4 linked regions of the Danio rerio genome follow. The protein of the gene in region 1 interacts with the protein of each later gene in a pairwise test. Links are inferred from orthologs where the notes say so. Each region holds a gene or a part of one and is shown on either strand. Other genes may lie near its edges.

The links.
Region 2: the proteins of bag3 (region 1) and sf3b4 interact in binary tests that used the Homo sapiens proteins (3 or more experiments, as listed by UniProt). The two-hybrid records come from large-scale screens. The link is inferred for Danio rerio from reciprocal best matches to the Homo sapiens genes BAG3 and SF3B4.
Region 3: the proteins of bag3 (region 1) and fam189a2 interact in a two-hybrid assay, tested with the Homo sapiens proteins (2 studies listed by BioGRID and IntAct). The link is inferred for Danio rerio from reciprocal best matches to the Homo sapiens genes BAG3 and ENTREP1.
Region 4: the proteins of bag3 (region 1) and dazap2 interact in binary tests that used the Homo sapiens proteins (3 or more experiments, as listed by UniProt). The two-hybrid records come from large-scale screens. The link is inferred for Danio rerio from reciprocal best matches to the Homo sapiens genes BAG3 and DAZAP2.

Annotation. Positions count from the first base shown.
Region 1 is NC_133188.1:28,710,616-28,714,878, reverse strand, and holds part of bag3 (BAG family molecular chaperone regulator 3), read right to left. Parts: intron 4,258-4,263; coding exon 3,949-4,257; intron 1,418-3,948; coding exon 1,130-1,417; intron 1-1,129. UniProt on the Homo sapiens protein: Co-chaperone and adapter protein that connects different classes of molecular chaperones including heat shock proteins 70 (HSP70s), e.g. HSPA1A/HSP70 or HSPA8/HSC70, and small heat shock proteins (sHSPs), e.g. HSPB8.
Region 2 is NC_133194.1:8,478,242-8,483,118, reverse strand, and holds the start of sf3b4 (splicing factor 3B subunit 4), read right to left. Parts: upstream 2,940-4,877; 5' UTR 2,912-2,939; coding exon 2,878-2,911; intron 2,538-2,877; coding exon 2,409-2,537; intron 728-2,408; coding exon 185-727; intron 1-184. UniProt on the Homo sapiens protein: Component of the 17S U2 SnRNP complex of the spliceosome, a large ribonucleoprotein complex that removes introns from transcribed pre-mRNAs.
Region 3 is NC_133180.1:56,862,665-56,867,706, forward strand, and holds the end of fam189a2 (endosomal transmembrane epsin interactor 1), read right to left. Parts: intron 4,379-5,042; coding exon 4,065-4,378; intron 1,476-4,064; coding exon 1,212-1,475; 3' UTR 980-1,211; downstream 1-979. UniProt on the Homo sapiens protein: Functions as an activator of the E3 ubiquitin protein ligase ITCH in the ubiquitination of the CXCL12-activated CXCR4 receptor. Thereby, triggers CXCR4 endocytosis and desensitization, negatively regulating the CXCL12/CXCR4 signaling pathway.
Region 4 is NC_133198.1:36,680,056-36,684,318, reverse strand, and holds part of dazap2 (DAZ-associated protein 2), read right to left. Parts: intron 951-4,263; coding exon 699-950; intron 1-698. UniProt on the Homo sapiens protein: In unstressed cells, promotes SIAH1-mediated polyubiquitination and degradation of the serine/threonine-protein kinase HIPK2, probably by acting as a loading factor that potentiates complex formation between HIPK2 and ubiquitin ligase SIAH1.

The sequences.
Region 1 (4,263 bases):
TATGTAAATCCACCAGAGGCCGCTGTTGACTGACTATTTGACTGTCTGATTGACTGAGTGACTAACCGATCAGCTGACCCACCCTCCTCTTTCCATAAACCCAACCAATAATATTTTTAAAAGCACCCACTGACCTGCCCATCCACATCCCTAAACCCAATCAACAATTTTAAAAAGCAATCAAGAAAAAGAAAAGACCTCGCCAGATTTTTTACTGCGTTTTCAGATTTTACCATACTTTTTACACATTCTTACCATATTGTTTACATGTTTATTTTCATCGTGGTCAACTCCTCTTTTCGTCTCAAGTCTGCTGGCGTACATGGTGAGCTAACCGGACAAACTAGCAACAGCATGAAAGCTGTCCACTTGGAGGTAGTCAGTAGCGTTTGTTTTAAAGATAAAATGCAGCCATATATAGCTCTGGCTACATAATTCGCGATCTCCAGAAACGTACATAGGGCTACATTTTCAGAATGAGCCTATGTTGAAAAATAATACGCCAAAACAAACCAGCCTGATCAAAAAAGGAAATGTAACTATTTTACTATTTGTCAGTTTAGTGGCTAATTCGCACAAATTTGTACGAGTTCAGTCAAACGTAAACGTAAGATTTTAAAAAGAAGGCATAGCATCCAACCCCACCCTTAAACCCAACCGTCATTGGGGGATGAGCAAACCATAATAAATCTAACAAATGAGATCATACAAATTCATACAAATTAGCCACTAAATCAAAAGGTTACAAATTGTCATGGCATGCCCTTTTTGAATTCTCCACTAGTGTTACTAGACAAACCCCTTACTGAAGATTGGCTGCAAGTGTGTTTTGGGTATCGGTCAGACACTGGTGTCATAAGCATTTCTCAAAAATTGCTAAGTGCACTTTTGAACAGAAAATTCATTCAAAAATGAAAATTATGTCATTATTTATGCATCCTCCATTAGTTCAAACATGCTTAAGGTTTTTTCTGTTGTTGAACACAAAAGGAGATATTTTGAAGAAACCTGTAGCCATTAAAATGAAAATTTTCCTTCTATCAATGTCAATGGCTACACTTTTCTTTAGATTATGTTTTTTTTTTTTCATCTTTCAGTAAAATATCCTCTTGATAAATAACACACATACCTGAGGCCTCTCTCCCATGATCTGAGCCATGACTGGCGACTGGGCTCTTAAGGGGACTTGGATGGGACTGGCAGCACGGTTCTGTTGAATCTGAATGGGCACTTGTTCACGGTAGATTTTTTCTCGAGTGGGATGAGAACTTTGGCTAAGCTGGGATGGCAAGACCCCCCCGGCACCCTCATGGATCACCGGAATGGGGATGTATCCTGCCCGGAGACCTGTATTGCTGGATCTGGGCTGCTGGTGAAGGCCACTGATTTGTTGGTGGGTCCCTTGTGGTTGATATCCCTTTGGTAAATAAAAACAGAGTTTGGGTCTGCATTAAATTGGTCAAAATTTACCTTAACAACACTTGTATTTATATAAATGTCACAAACAAACATTAGAAAGTTTTTACAACATATAAATTTACTACAAATTTCTACAGCTGTTGAAAATCCAGCTTTGCCTTCACAGGAATAATAATTGCATTTTAAGATATATTAAAATAGAAAATATTTATTTAAAATTAATATTGTAATGTTCTTGTATTGTTTTTGCAGTTTATGATTATATAAAAACACGAGTAGCACTGGTGGGAGGTGTGCATTGGCACAAGGCCGCAGGCTCTTTTGTGTGAGGAACTACTTTCTTCCGCCATTCATTCACATCTGCAGCTGATGTCAGAAAAGCAGAAACCCTTGCTCATTCACATGTCATTTTAGAGCTTGTATTTAAATGATTCTCTAGTGTAATATCTAAAGTGATGACAAAACAGGTGATTTTGCTCACATTTAAATTTTTCTAAGGCTGAACAGCATGAAATGCCATCAGTCTACAGATTTCCTTGTATTTCTCTGTTTTAATCAGTATATAACACTAAGTAAATAACACAATAATTATCCCCAAAAAAGCCAACCCAGCACAAACACTACCAGATTACTGTTGTGTTTGTGATAAAGAAAAACGTTTAAGACATGCGGGTATTTCTTTTTTGTTTCTGTTTACTGTACTAGTCTACAGTAGTAAAAACAGGAGACTCATTAGAAACAAACAGATAGCCCAGGGTTATACAAAGAGTGGCCAACACAAAATACATTCCTAATATGTGAGTCCCTTCTCACTCTCAACACACTACAATTACTATGGTATAAATACAGCACTACAACATACAAAAGAGAGCGATCGACTTCCAATCCCAATTCTACCCCATTAGCCCTTCCCCTTACCCCTACCCTTCGTTTGACGAGTTCCCGTGAAGGGGTAGGGGTGTCCCAATTCTCTTTAGCTTAAAGGCGTAGGGCTAAGGGGAAGGGTTAGACAGCCCTTCGAACTGAGATTTTTCCGGACTACACTCGAAACCAAGGGGTAAGAAAATTTTCCAAAATACACCAGCTAAAACGGTAACATAGCTGCACCCGGAAGTAAGGAGGTCTACAAAAAATAACACAACTGGAATAACTACAGCAGTCACGATCGACGATCTCCTATGAAGTAAGAGCTCGCGATGGCATATCATGACGTGTGCAGGTGCTGTAGTGGTGTCCCATTTCTTAGGAGTAAATTTTTCAGCCCTTCAACTTTACACTCAGTTTTAAGGGGCATGGGGAAGGGATAGGGGTACAAAATAGAATTGGGATTGGGCCTTAGAATGTCACTTAACAGTTTTATAATGATTTGATCAGCTGTAATTTTTCTCCTCTAAAAGCTTATTATGCAGTCTCTGTCGCCATCTGGTGGATGGCGTGGTATCTTATAAATATTTAAAATAGGGTTTATTCTTATAAATAAACTGCATAGTTGTAATCTAAACAACTACATTCTGCCTAAAAAGCCTCAAAAGTACATTATGTTGTCCAACAGCAGCAATATTTGTCAAACTGTAGTGAGTTTATTGATCTACTGTCACTCTGTGTGGGTGGAGTAATACATAAGGGTGAGGAGGCTGTACGATTGCAGAATATTGCACTGCTATCAGCCAATCAGATCCGGGAACCAGACAGAACTGTTGTATATATATTCTAGATATATATATATTCTCCCCATGTTTGTCTGGATGTCCTCCGGGTCCTCTGGTTTGCCCCACAGTCCAAAGACGTGCGGTATATGTGAATTGAATAAACTAAATTGGCCATAGTGTACAGGTATGTGTGAATGCGAGAATGTATGGGTGATCTTCAGTACTGGGTTGTTGCTGGAAGAGTATCCTCTGCGTAAAAAATATGTTGAGTCAGTTGGCGGATCATTCCGCTGTGGTGACCCCTGATAAATAAAGGGACTAAACCGAAGGAAAATGAATGAATGAATGAATAAGCTAAATAGTAAACAGAGACTCAGCAATGAAATGCTTATATACAATTTTCATCAGATGTAATTTTTCAACACCCTATTAAACACCATTTTTTTAAATGAAAAGTCAGGGCATCAGGAAGATTTTACAAATGAAGAAATTTTCATAAAAGTAAAAAATTAGCTATTCATTTATTCTGACTTAACTCTGAGATAAATTAAAAGTTTTCTTTAGGCTGTGCCATAAATGTAATAGTAAATAATATTTAGTTTCCTGCACTGATTGAAGTTTTGTTTCACGTTTCACGAAACCTCAATATATCAACAGGAGATATCTGTTTTGTTTTGCCTCGATATCCTTTTTTTGCTGTTTTAGCTAAATATTTTCTTTAAAATCCTACTAAAGAAAATCTCAGCGACATATTCGATGACCCAAGGGCAAGTAAATTAACAACCAATTTTACAGTGAACTATCCTCTTAATGCAAACCTTTCCCAATAAACCCAAGACAGAGACTGCCACTTCTATAGATTGCTTTCTCATGATCTTACCTCAGGCCCGTGTGAAGTAGGTGAGCAAGACGAACATGCTTCTGATGGGGTCTGCACTGGAGATCTAGGCCGACAGTGTGCTGCTGGCGTTGGGGAAGGTGTACGTCCATCTGTTCTCAGATTCTGCTGCACCGCTGGATGAATGTAGGAGAAACTAGGATACTGCTGCAGCCTGGGTTCAGGGTTTTCATGACAGACAGGGATGGGGATGTAGCCCTGCCGGAGCATTGGCTGCCTCATCTCATTAATAAAGGTTTTGTGCATGTCCTGAGGAGTCTCTGGGGACATTGAAGGACCATTGGAAAAAATCTGAAA
Region 2 (4,877 bases), on another chromosome or scaffold:
AAGTCTTGATAACACCATAGTGAAGTTTTTCTTTTACTATTTCAGCAAACAGGATTGTGAATAAAAAATATTTGTTGTACTCTCCCATTCACTTCACTCTAAATTTATCCAACTCTGACGACTTTGAACCTGGAAATGTGAAAAACATTTGCAACATGTCATTAAGATGTTTCTCATCTCTAACCTGGAATAGGCATGGCTGCTCCGAGGGCAGTCATGACAGGCGTGGGCATGCTTGGAGGAGGTGGAGCATCTGCGAAAAGCTGATGTGGGCGATCGGCCTGGGACAGTGGATTCTGTGCGGCAAGGAGACGCTCGGCTGCTGACCCATGTCTTTCACCCTTTGAGTCTTTCTTAAACGCGTATGAAACAGTGATGGGCCGATTACACAGATACTGGCCATTCATAGCCTCGATAGCCGCATCTGACGCATCAAAACTGGCAAAGTTGATGAAGGCGTAACCCTTCGAGTTGCCCGTATCGGGGTCTCGCATGATCTTGGGGGTCTGAAGGATCACACCGAAAGCGCTGAATGTGTCATAAAGTAATTTCTCGTCGATCTCAGGGTCCAAGTTGCCAATGAAGATGTTGGCACCAACGTCGAGGTTCTTGTTGTGCGCTGAAGCTTTGTTGACTCGTATGGGCTTGCCGTAAAGTTTGATCATATTCATTATTTTTATGGCGTAGTCCGCATCTTCTTCGCTGAGAAACTCCACAAAGCCATAACCTGAAGAAGAGAGAGCGATACCAGTTTTTGAAGTGATCCTATTAGGTTGTTAAAAGTTCCTAATTTTGTTTTACATGCAGGGCTCAACAATAAGGACTGCCCGGTGGCCCGGGGCCAGCTTGAAAGGCGCTCGGGACAGTAGACAGGATTGTTACTGGCCCCTATCGCACGTTATTTTTTTCGTAACCTGGTCACAACAAGTACATCGAAAACATGGCAAAATGGCAGCAACATCAAACGATGAGGCTAAAAGAAAATGTCTGTTTCTAAAGTATTGGAAGCAGACAATACATGTGTACAAAATTAAGAAACTGGAGAGAGAAAAAAAAAAGGTTGTCAGTTTGGCAAGCCATTTTTATAAAAATAATTTAGAGTTGCAATAAAATACCAGCTTTTTTTTCCATACTGCTCTTTCGTTGGCATAAAATCTTGAATTTTGCTCATTATACATTTATTACCATTTTTGAAATGTTTAAATTCTATTATTATTTAAAATATGTGGCTAAGACATAACTATTAACTTTTTGTTGTTTTTGGTGGGGGCAGTGAAAATCTCAACCACTGGCCCGATCGGCCCAGTAGACAAAATCCTTGCCGTTGAACCCTGACATGCATTCAATGTTAAAATACACTTTAATTTCTTAATACAATACATAAGAATTACTCAAATATGATTTGAGTATTGAGTACTAATTTGACTACATTTACAATATTAGGCAATGTTGATTTATCAATCAATCAATCAAATTATTTATATAGCACATTTTTACAATCAGAAGGCTGCTCAAAGTGCTTTACAGTCTTAAAAACAAAAAATAAGTTAAATTTAATGTACACCGTCCCTTGTTGTGAAATATAATAAGATAAAAATCAATATCAATTCTCTGTAGGATAGATTTGATAACACACAGGCAGTTTTTGATTGAGGTAAAGAAGGTTTTACATTCGCAAATTTATTCATTTTAACGGTTACTATATAGTTTACCACACTACTTTCAATATTCAGTCTAAATTTGCATGCAAGTATTACACTACAAACAACATTACACTATTTAATTGTCTGTGAACAGTGTTGTAGTCATCGGCTGCTAATATGGTTTCACTGTTTAGAATTTAAATATAATATTTTTCTGAAATTATATAGTTAAGGAGAAAGTCAGAATGTGCAAATATAAAACCAATTATACCTCAATCAGTTTTTGTGGACTTCCAAGTCTGCAGCCTATGAATGCAAAAGTAAGTGTGCAGAATTGCAGTTGTAACAAACAAACACAAGATTTGGGTAAAAAAAAATTATACAATAAATAATAAAAAGTACAAATAAAAACAAAATCAGTACTTATAACTGGGGTTTTGTTCAACAATGTCAACAACACAAACAAACGTAAGATTGAGCAAAACTAGATATTTAGCAGCCACTGGCTGGTATTATGCAAACTTGTTAGGAACACAGTTCCTGTATTGTTTACCACGCTACTTTGAATATATGGTCTAAAATATAATGCAACTATTTCATTGTCTGTGAACAATATTGAACTTTGATAGTCTTTGACTGCTAATGTCATTTTCCTTCTTATAATTTGCAAAGAATACTTTTGCTAAATTATATTAAGAGGAAAGACCGAATGAGGGAGTATAAAAGCAACTTTACCCCAATGGATTTAAAGACGTGGTAACTCACCCTGGTGTTGTCCTGTTACTCTGTCTTTGGGCATGTGTGTGTTTACAACAGGACCAGCTTGAAGGAAAAGCTCCCACAAAAGAGGCTCAGAGACCTTCTCATCGAGACCACCCACATATACAGTGGCATCTGCAGATAAAAGATGATCAATATAAATGACAACACTGAACACAAACATAGTATTTTATTTAACGTTAGATGCATTATTTATATACAATTTATTAATTCCGATAATAATAAGCATATTGAAATATGCATGATTGTTTTGTTACACTTCATTAAAACCAAAACTCAAACGTTTCTTTGTTTTTATTTGTTAAGCCAACATGTTTGAATGAATGAAAATGAGCGATTTGACTGTATCATAGAACATAGGAAGAACTTAAGGTGTTCAATAATGCTGCAATCCATCACTTACCCCGAACACTACATAACAATTTCACTAAAAAGTTAAATTTATCAAATATACCTTGATTTCGTTCTGAAATCGGTCCCGCCGCCATGATGAACCCCGGCGTGTGTACAGACGGAAGCAGTTCTTTTTGCTGAAATCACCTCAACATCGTCTTGTCATCGCAGTGCTGCCGCCCACAGGAGAGGAAGATGAACATTGCCGATTTTGTGGATGTCAAATTATGATTTACTACGTCCTTTGTCTGTTTTTGTTCGGAAGTTACTTAATATGTCTTTTATGTTGTTAAAGGTCATAAAATGGAGCCACAGCTGTGCTAAGCCAGGACCCAGTCAGACTGTCTAATGGACAGATCTGTGGCGACGAAACAAACAGTAGGCTACCGCATGGTTTTTATCACATAAGTAACAATTAATTAAATATGCAAGTTAATATTATCACGAGCTGTATAAAGTACTCAAATGACCTACCATACTTAAGTGGAAGTAGAAATACACAAACTGCTTGTTCAAGCTGAAGCAACACAATTCTTGTGATTTGTGGGGGCAACTTAATTGTTTTATGTTTAAACCAATTAAATTTGTTGAGACAATGAACAAATTGTGTGGAATTTTTTACAGTGTACTAACAAAGTAAAAAAGTGAGGTAAAAAAGTACAAATTAAAGTTTTTAATTAATGGTTAAAAACAAATAAGACTTAAAATGGCACACAAGTGGATAGACTTTATAAGAATGTATTAAAAATAAATTTTGGGTGAGCTAAGTTACCTCAGTATACTTTTAGATTTGATGATGAAAGAAGTTTCTTTTAGATAAGTAATAACATACGCTGAAATGTGTGCTGTTAACATACAAACTTTTAAATTTATCAATAAGCTATATGCACAGCTAGTTTTTTTTAGCCAATGATAAACTTCTAGCGAAAGCTTTATAAAAGCTTTAATTTCATAAGGTTTCTTTTACAGCATCGATGTTGTAATATAATTACAATACATTCAGTTAAATATTTGGTTGGTAAAGCATAAAAACCGTTTAAATGCAGGCGCCGTCATTAGCAGCGAGTAAGCGCAAAAACTTTAAAAAAAATACTGAGGAAAAATTAATTTCCATATTTTAATGACATGGTGTGGAAAAATAGTCTATAAATTAATGCAGTGTTTTTATGCTAGGTCTGATACCCACTATATATCGCATCTCAGCCAGGCAGTGAAGATTGCTGTTATTTAAAGAAATCAGATCTTAAACGCTGCAATTTAGTTTGGGATGACAATTAACCGGAAGCAATGGGGCTGACTGACTGAAATTAAAAGTTTGTGTGCATATACCCCATTGTGTGTAAGATGGAGGAAAAAACAACAGTGAAGCAATTACTTTTCAAAGTGAAATAAAATGATAGGCATTATAAAATTAATGGTTTTCTTCAAATCAAGCACAAGCACTCAATATAAATTACATTTTTGTCATTTAAAAACGTTTCCCAAAAATTAAACTAAAGTACATTAATTTAAGGTGGCATGGTGGCTTAGTGGTTAGTGCTGTTGCATAGAGTTTGCATGTTCTCCGCAAGTTGGTTTCCTCTAGGTGCTCCGGTTTCTCCCACAGTCCAAAGACATGTGCTATAGGTGAATTAAATAAACTAAATTGGCCCTGTGTATGAATGTGTGTGTGAATGATAGAGTGTATGGGTGTTTTCCAGTACTGGGTTGTGCCCAAGGTGCAAATTATACATTCACCAACAGGAGGGTAACCTTTTTGGTATGTTAACGTTAGTTTGTGTAATACATGCTTTAGTGAATCACATGAATGTATTTATTTGAGCTAGTTTAATTAATCTGATTTATTAATAAACATATTTAAGTTTCCAGTGTTTTGTGCGATATTTAGTGTATTCTGACCTACGATATCCTCTGATTAGCTATTCCAGAGTTTACTGTAGGTCAAACTATAAAAACTATGCATCTAATTTGAGTTCACTTTCAGGTTATATGTAGAAACAAACTGCTGTTTTACAAGAAAAGTGTCTTACGAACACTTTGGTTGTCTATCGGTGCTTTGAT
Region 3 (5,042 bases), on another chromosome or scaffold:
TGGCATTTCTGTGTGGAGTTTGCATGTTCTTCCTGCGTTCGCGTGGGTTTCTTCCGGGTACTCTGGGTTCCCCCACAGTCTAAAGACATGCAGTACAGGTGAATTGGGTAGGCTAAATTGACCGTAGTGTATAAGAGTGAATGGTTGTTTCCCAGAGATAGGTTGCATCTGGAAGGACATCCGCTGCGTGAAATATGTGCTGGATAAGTTGGCGTTTCATTCTGCTGTGGCGACCCCGGATTAATAAAGGAACTTAGCCGAAGAGAAAATGAATGAATGTATGATGAATTTGTTCCAGTGATTTTAATGATGAATTTTCCGCTTCATTACTTCAGTCTTCAGAGTCGCATGATCCTTCAAAAAATAACTCTATTATAATTATATTATTATTATATAGTATTATTAATGGTAATAGAAATAAAGCAATAATGACGGGACTAATGATTTCATTTGAAAATACATTCAATAAGTAATAAATAAATATTTAATAAATAAGTATAACAATTTAATTAAAATAGCATCTTGATGAAGGCTTAAAAAATATAAACTTTTGACTATGTAGTGTATATTATATACAGAGTATTATCTATATATAGTTTTGTGTAAAAACTATAATCAAACATTAAAATGTCATTTAGGAAAAATAATAATTTTAATATTAATAATAATAATACAGTGCAGATACACTTGCCTCAATTTTAGTAATTATGCATGATATATTTCTGAGGGACATACTGGGAGAAATATTTATAGTCCTCAGATTGGTCAAATATAATGCTTCAGATTCTTCCTCCATCTACCTCACAATAAGTTTATTACTCAACAAAAAATAATATCACATATTCAATAAACAAACAAAAATATATGGATTTGAATATATATTTTAAACATAATTATTATTAATGTTGTATTTTTGGTCAATTAAATCTAATTGTTTAAAATTAAATCATGAAATTTAACATGAAATTCATAAACATAATTTATGTTGTTTGTTTTTTTATTATTCCAGTGTTTTATTAGTTTATAGTGCATAACATATAATTTAAAAAAATCATTAGCAATTCCCAACAACTGGAATTGAAACAGCAAAATTTTAAAAAGCCCTTTTAAAAACAAAGTGAAAACTAAACTCTTGGCTTGGCATCTGTCATGTGTTAGTATTAGCTACTTTTTACAGTCTAACGCCTCAGTTTGCACTCATATGCAGTCTGTTAGAGGACAGTTTCTCTGAAGACTCCTATAAGGCTGTGTGGTCGCTCCTGCTCCAGGCGGGATCCTGCCCGAGAAGCCATCCTGGAGTGAGTCCGCAAACGCGTGCTAGTCTGCACCCATGTAAAGGAACTGAGGTCCCCACAGCTGCGCAGGTGAAGGATGCCGGGACGTTTGCGCAGTGGCAGTGTCTTGGAGGAGTGCTCCATCTTTGTCTGCCTGCGTAGAGAGGACTGAGCCGATGACACCTCTGAAACAGTAATGGCCTGCAGAAATTCAGGAGAGTACAGGACATTAGTGGAAATAAAAAGCAGAATACTGTCTACCCTACAAAACATTATAAGTATGTAAATCAGGAACCCTGTTCCTAGAGATCTACCTTCCTACCTTTCTACCTAATTTCCCTGACAACATACCTTTAAACATAACTGCAAGTGACAGACATCACAGTCCAAGCACAGCCCTTTGGGCAATTGGTGTTAAAAATACATCAAATTGACATCAAAATGGATGTCAAAGAACTGGTTTAAATACCAATCAAACTGATGTCAAAATCATGTCATGGTGCATGATTCAATGCACATGTCATGTATAAATATGATGACAAATATTTACCCAAAAATGCTTAAATGAGCATTAAAGCTACTAAGCTATAAGGCAAAACATTTTGCAGCCATGGCTCTTGGTAATCTTGTAAACAACTTGACACATGTTGATGTTTTGAGAATGTTTTGTCATCAAGGTGTCTAAATGGTGTACAAACACTGGCATGGATGGACAGAATCTTTAAGCGAAGTAAAAAAAGTAAAAAACTAAATCCTCAGTGAAAAAGAATGTGAATTAAAACTGAAATGTGGATTGTAATAAAATAATTAAAATAAACAAATACTGTATGTATATGTATATATATATATATATATATATATATATATATATATATATATATATATATATATATATATATATATATATATATATATATACATTCATTTTCTTGTCGGCTTAGTCCCTCTATTAATCTGGGGTCGGCAGAGCGGAATCCACACATACATGTAAAATATCCACACATACACTACAGACAATTTAGCCTGTACTGCATGTCTTTGGACTGTGGGGGAAACCGGAGCACCGAGAGGAAACCTACGCGAACGCAGGGAGAACATGCAAACTCCACAAAGAAACGTCAACTGAGCCGAGGATCGACCCAGCGATCTTCTTGCTGTGAGGTGAACATGCTACCCACTGTGCCACTGCGTTGCCCTTATATATATATATATAAATTCAGAATTATGAGCCCCCCTTTGATTTTTTGATTTTTAAAATATTTCCCAAATGATGTTTAACAGATCAGTGAAATTTTCACAGTAAGTCTGATAATATATATTTTTTCTTTTAGTCTTCTAAAGAAAGTCTTATTTGTTTCATTTTTGCCAGAATAACAGCAGTTTTTAATTTTTTAAAAAACATTTTAAGGTCAAAATTATTAGCCCCTTTAAGCAAATTTTTTTCTCGACAATCAACAGAACAAACCATCATTATACAATAACTTGCCTTATTACCCTAACCTGTCTAGTTAACCTAATTAACATAGTTAAATAAGTAGAAAAATCACATGTACATAAGTATTCACAGCCTTTGCTCAATAATTTGTTTATGCACCTTTGGTAGCAATTACAACCTCAAGTTTTTTTGAATATGATGCTACAAGCTTGGCACACCTGTCTTTGGGAATTTTGGCCCATTCCTTTTCGCAGTACCTCTTAAGCTCTATCAGGTTGGATGGGAAGCGACGATGTAAAGCCATTATTCTTTGTACGGACATTAGAGGTGTACACCTTTGAGGCTCTCACGTCTTCGGTGTAAGCGCACAGTCAGGCCTTATTCCGTAATCACTCAGCTTAGATGACCTGCCAGCTCTAGGAAGTGTCCTGTTGGTTCCAAACATCTTCAACTTACAGATGATGGAAGCCACTGTGCTCATTGGAACTTTTAGAGATGCAAAAAAAATTCTGTAACCTTCCCAAGCAGACAATTCCTTTGTCTTCATGCTTGGTTTGTGCTTTGACATGCACTGTATACCCTGGGACCTTATATAGACAGGTGTATGCCTTTTTTAAATGTCCAATGCTGAAAAATCTCAAGAATGATTACTGGAAACAGAATGTACCTGAGCTCAATTTAGAGCTCGACGGTAAAGGCTGTGAATACTTTTGTACATGCGATATTTGTTTTTTTAAATATATATATATATATATATATATATATATATATATATATATACATTTGCAACAATTAAAATAAAATCACATTATGGGTGATTGTGTGTTAAATTTTGAGGAAATAATTGAATCCATTTTGCAATAAGGCTGTACCAAAAGAATTTGGAAAAAGTGAAGCGCCGGATGCACTATATATATATATATATATATATATATATATATATATATATATATATATATATATATATATATATATATATATATATATATATATATATATATATATATATATATATATATATATATATATCACTACTAAGAAGAAAAAGAAGAAGAAGAAAACGCTTTAAAGTCACAACAAAAACTTTAAATGCAGAAGAAATCAAGAATCTACTACTACATTTTGAACAGATCAATATTCATTTTATTTGCTTACTGCTAAATAAAAAATAAATAGAAAAACAAAGACAACACTTCCAGACGTGCACATATCTATTTGCAATGGCAAGAAAAAAGTAGGCTCAATGAACATCTATTTCCAAATAATTTTTTTGACTATACTTTCAGATATTAGTGTTTACAGTGTTAAACTGTAGCGAGCTGGATTCAAACACAGATTTTCAGTGAATGTCTTACCTGGTCAATGAAGCTGGCACATCGAACGGCCTCCTCCATGTGTTCCTCATCTGAGCGCAGGACAGTTTTAATGCTGTTGACGAGCTCCTGCACCTCTGGTGTCAGGCTGCAGGACGACTGCTCTAGAAAACGAGCCACCAGCAGTTTCGTGTCTCTGTAGCTCTGGTAGTCCACCAAAGAGTTGGGGCGAGGCTTTCGTTTACCACAGCCCTGTCGTAGTGTGACAGACCCGTTCTCTGTTCCAGTCAGTGAACCTGGGGCAGGAGCTGGACTAGGGCCTAATTCTGTCTGTGTGGCTGCTTCACAACTCATTACTGAAAGACAGAAAGAAACCATATAACAGTGAGAGATAGTGACGCATGTCGCATGCAAACATTTAACCCTATAGCATTAGTCTTCTAATTTCTTACAACCAAAAATGTGTGTGTCTATCTTGCTGGTCATTTGTGATGCTAAACATTCATTTTATTTTACTGTAGTGTCATTTCTCTAACCAAACTAAATATAATTTTATTATTATTATAAATAATTTTATTATTATTATTATCATAAAAATCATGTATGAAAACAGAAGATCAAGGGTTTTACAAAGTTAAACAAATGTGCCCGATTAGACACATAATTATTTTGCTTTATTCCACAGATGATACAACATCAACCTCTCCTACCCTTAAGACTGATGCTTTTTATGTAAACCTTTATTCTCTCTTTATGTGTAATCATGTGTTTTGCGACAAGTCTTTTGCCCAAGTATTAATACTTCTGCATGCAATGTTTAACTTTACCACAACTGAAACAAGATTATAGATAGTTTATGTTTGATATCCCTGCAAAGCTAATTTGGTGTACTGAACGATTGTTTACATTGTATGTTAATATGTGTGCAACATATATAAATAAAAAAAAAAAAAAACTTTAAACATTTTTGCATTAGCTTATATCCAGAATGTATACGCAAATCACCATGCTTTGAAACAA
Region 4 (4,263 bases), on another chromosome or scaffold:
AATAATTTTAAAAAATTAGATTTAAAAAAATCATTTTGAGATTTACTTTTGATAAAAATTCTAGTATTTTTTGAAGGATTCCCATTTAAAAATATTCCCTTTAAAGTCTCGCCACATATTTTATTTATTTATTGCCACATCAGCAATTTGTGGCAATTTCATGGCAAAGTCAATATACATAAAAACATCATATAGGACTTGATACACAAACAAATATATAAATAAATACAATTCACAATAACTGTTTATTAAAAGTTAAATATGATTTTATAAATAACTTCATCATGATGAAACTTTTTATTGAACATCTTTCAAAGTGTTTTCTTTATAAAATCTTGTCCTTAAACATTCACAATCTAATATGATGTGTTTTATGGTGAGAGCAGCTTGACAGTAATTACATGTTGGTGGAGATAAAAATAAGGATAAAAATCATTGACTGATAAAATTAAAAATAAAGCATTTCCATAGTATGTTTTAAATTATCCTTTGAGTAAATGTCTATGAGTGAGTCCTGAGCGTCTGATATGGCATCTTGTGTAAACAACCTCATCATGTCTTTTCATGTCATTCAGATTTCTTCAGATTTCTAAAAGTTTTCATCATTGTGACCCTCAAGCATAAACTGAGCTTGACTAATATAATGGAAATCTCATTTGGCTGATAAAACACATCATGTTTAGGGGACATATACTCACCGGAATGGAACTACCAGTGCCAGGCCCGAAGCGAGCTCCAGCATCAAATCCACCATCCACCATGACAGTGGAGCCAGGAGGGTACACGGGCCCCATCGGATAATACGCCATCGGGACACTAGAAGCCATGGCCCCCATTGGCACAGTCTGGGCATGCATGGGCATGTACATCTGAGTACCAGGGTAAGCAGAGGTCATCTGGGGCATTTGTCCAGGGGCTGGAGGGGGAGCCATATATCTGGGCTGATAAACCTGCAGGTAGGAGAGAAAACTATTTCAAACATTTGTGTAGGTGATAACAAAAAGTGTATAATTCACACTTAATATCAAGACTTCAATTGTTTTAATTGAAGTTAATTAGACTAATGAAAGACAATGGCATTTTAAATCTTAGTTTTGATTGTTTAGAGCAGAGGTGCCTAAAGTAGGGCCAAAGTTGGCCAATGGTAACCTTTGGTTTAGCCCCATCATCCCATCTGAACAGTAATGACGGTGAGTTGGTTGGGGTGAATGCCTTAGTTTCTTTGTTTAATTGAGTAGCTACCAAAAAAAAAGCCAACTAAAATGAAATGTTTCATATAAATGTTGTAAATGAATCAGACTTTTACTGCCACTTGACAGATAAAAGACAATGCACAAGACATCGGCAAGCAAATCAAGACAAAGGCCGAAGTAGCTCCACTAGTGTATTCAGCATTGAACACCATTGTCTAATAACTGGGATTGTTTGTTTTAACTGTAATAAGTTTATTATAACATGTTAAATCTGATACTGCATGTTTAAAAATGTTTAAAAGCAATGTTTTATTTTTATTTTTAAATATTAGCAAATCAATTAGGAAGTTTTCCATGGCAAATGTAATGTAATACAGTTTGGTATTTTTAACTTCGACCCACAGCCCTCACACCCCATTTACACGGGGCGTCAGCTGCAACGCTTCCCATTCACTTTGAATTAAGTAACATCAGGTGTTGCCGAACTGCATTGTGGACTCTTCGCTCAACATTTCAAGTGCCGACGGAAGCCTTAGCCAATCAGATCGCTGTATGCAAATACACCAGTTTAGACAGTGGCCTATTGCTGACTAATTTCATTGGCTGACGCTGCTATGATGATCGCATCAGCCCCAACTTCAGACACACCCTCTGTCAAGCGTTGACGCTGAAGCCCTGTGTGAATGGGGCATCAGTCAAGGTTTTGGGCCTTTTATAAGAAAAGTGTGTTTAAGCACCTCTGGTTAAGAGTTTAGTGCCTGCCATGACTATTAATTTTTAGAAATATCTAAATTAAATAAATAAATAAAACAAACAAATAAAGATCTGGTGTCACTAGGCATGGGACATTAACCGTTTTCAACGTTTACCGCAGTTTGGTAGACACCGTCAATTTTTTGCTATACCGTTCCTAAGGTATTTGTATGATTTTTTTATTTATATATATATAAATATATATATATATATTTTTTTTAGAACAACCATATCTCCAGCAGAAAAGATGTCCAACGTTGCTATTTTAAATGGTTAAAAAAATCAGTGTTTTGAAACAATTGAAGACAGCAGAGGTCAAGGATTCATTTAAACTATTCAGTCTGACATGTTTACTGCTCCAAAATATTAAGTGTTTCTCAAAATACCATATATTGTGTTCAAAGGGGAACCCAAACATTTAAAAGAATATATTTTAAAGCAGTAATGTCAATACCGTATTACAGTAAAACCGTGATATTTTTATCCAAGGTTATCAAACCGCCAGAATCTTATACCGGCCCATGCCTAGGCGTCACTTGATTAAAAATCACCTGAAAAACAAAAATGCCTAAATAAGATGTCCCAATCCCTCAAAATATACCCATATTTACTCATTTACATTTAAAAGTAAATTCATACCTCTTGATATTATGCATCACTCATGTACTGAGAACTGTAATGTAATGTGTTTTTTATTTAACGCCATGTTAGCAGCCAAGTCTATTTTCATGGCAAGAACATTTCAATAATAAATTTACAATTAAAAATCAACAAACAAATGAATATATACATTAAATACATTTTTACTTGATAAAAATGTAACATTTTTCCTGGTGTCACTTTGCTAAAAACGTCCTTTAGAGATTTAAATACATAAAAAAGTCTTCGGGAATCAAGAGGAAAAATGTATTTGAATGTGAGAGGAATTGCAGTATAATATACTGCGGTACAAACATTGAGTAGGGTCTTCACCTTTAAGCAAAAAAGCATGGGTTATTCTTGTACAGTTAAAGTCAGAATTATTAGCCCCCCTGGATTATTAGCCCCCCTGTTTATTTCTTTCCCCAATTTCTGTTTAACGAAGAGAAGATTCTTTTTTAACACATTTCTAAACATAATAGTTTTAATATCTCATTTCTAATAACTGATTTATTTTATCTTTGCCATGATGACAGTTAACAATATTTGACTAGATATTTTTCAAGACACTTCTACACAGCTTAAAGTGACATTTAAAGGCTTAACTAGGTTAATTGGGTTAACTAGGCAGGTTAGGTTAATTAGGCAAGTTATTGTAAAACTATGGTTTATTCTGTAACTATCAACACAAAAATAAATAAATGGCTTATAGGGGCTAATAATATCGAAAATGGATTTTAACAAATTAAAAACTGCTTTGATTCTAGCCGAAATAAAACAATTAAGACTTTTTTCAGAGGAAAAAAATATTGAGACATGCTGTAAAAATTGCCTTGCTCCGTCAAACATCATTTAGAAAATATTTTTTGAAAAGATTAAAAATTAAAAGAGCTAATAATTCTGACTTCAACTGTATGTCCAATACGACATCTGGGAAAAATCACCAAATCTAGTCTTAAAACTCTGTTTGAGGTTTCAGGTTGTATTTTATACAATTGATTTGTTTATGCATCCCACACTTTACTGTGAACACAAACAATTTTACATTAAAAAATAGCATAAAAAAGATTTTTTAAATAATTATTCTGCACACACCTGTAAATATTAAGTAAATTGTAAGTTGCTTTAGACAAAGGCATCTGCCAAATGCCTAAATGTAATTAGTTAACAAATGAGATGATGCTGTGACATGCTACTGAACTGATAAACAGAAATTCAATTCTGCAGTTGTATAAAGTCTAAATTTATGATTAGTACAATGTATTCATCAATCATTGGTATTCATTACTATTTATTTTTAAATTTACAATTAAATGTTATTTTATCACTGCAGTTTTAAATTAAGGTTTTAGAAACAACTCATAATAAAATCGCTGTATTGACTTGCCCCTTTTTATCTGTTATAACTGTCTAGAATATCTCTTACCAATGGGAATTTGGCATTGACTAATTCTTTGCTAAATCTGCCCTTGTCCTTCTAAATGGCAGCTCTTGCATCACAGAAAATGATTCATCAAATCCAATATAAAAAAAAAGTATATTCATATAAAATCCAGGACACTTCATTAAAAGAAGACACTGAATCCTAAAAAAATGCTTCTAATATAACACTTGATTATAACGAGACATTGTTCTGTGAAGCCTTTCCTACTGCAACTCATTTACATAAGCAAAGAGA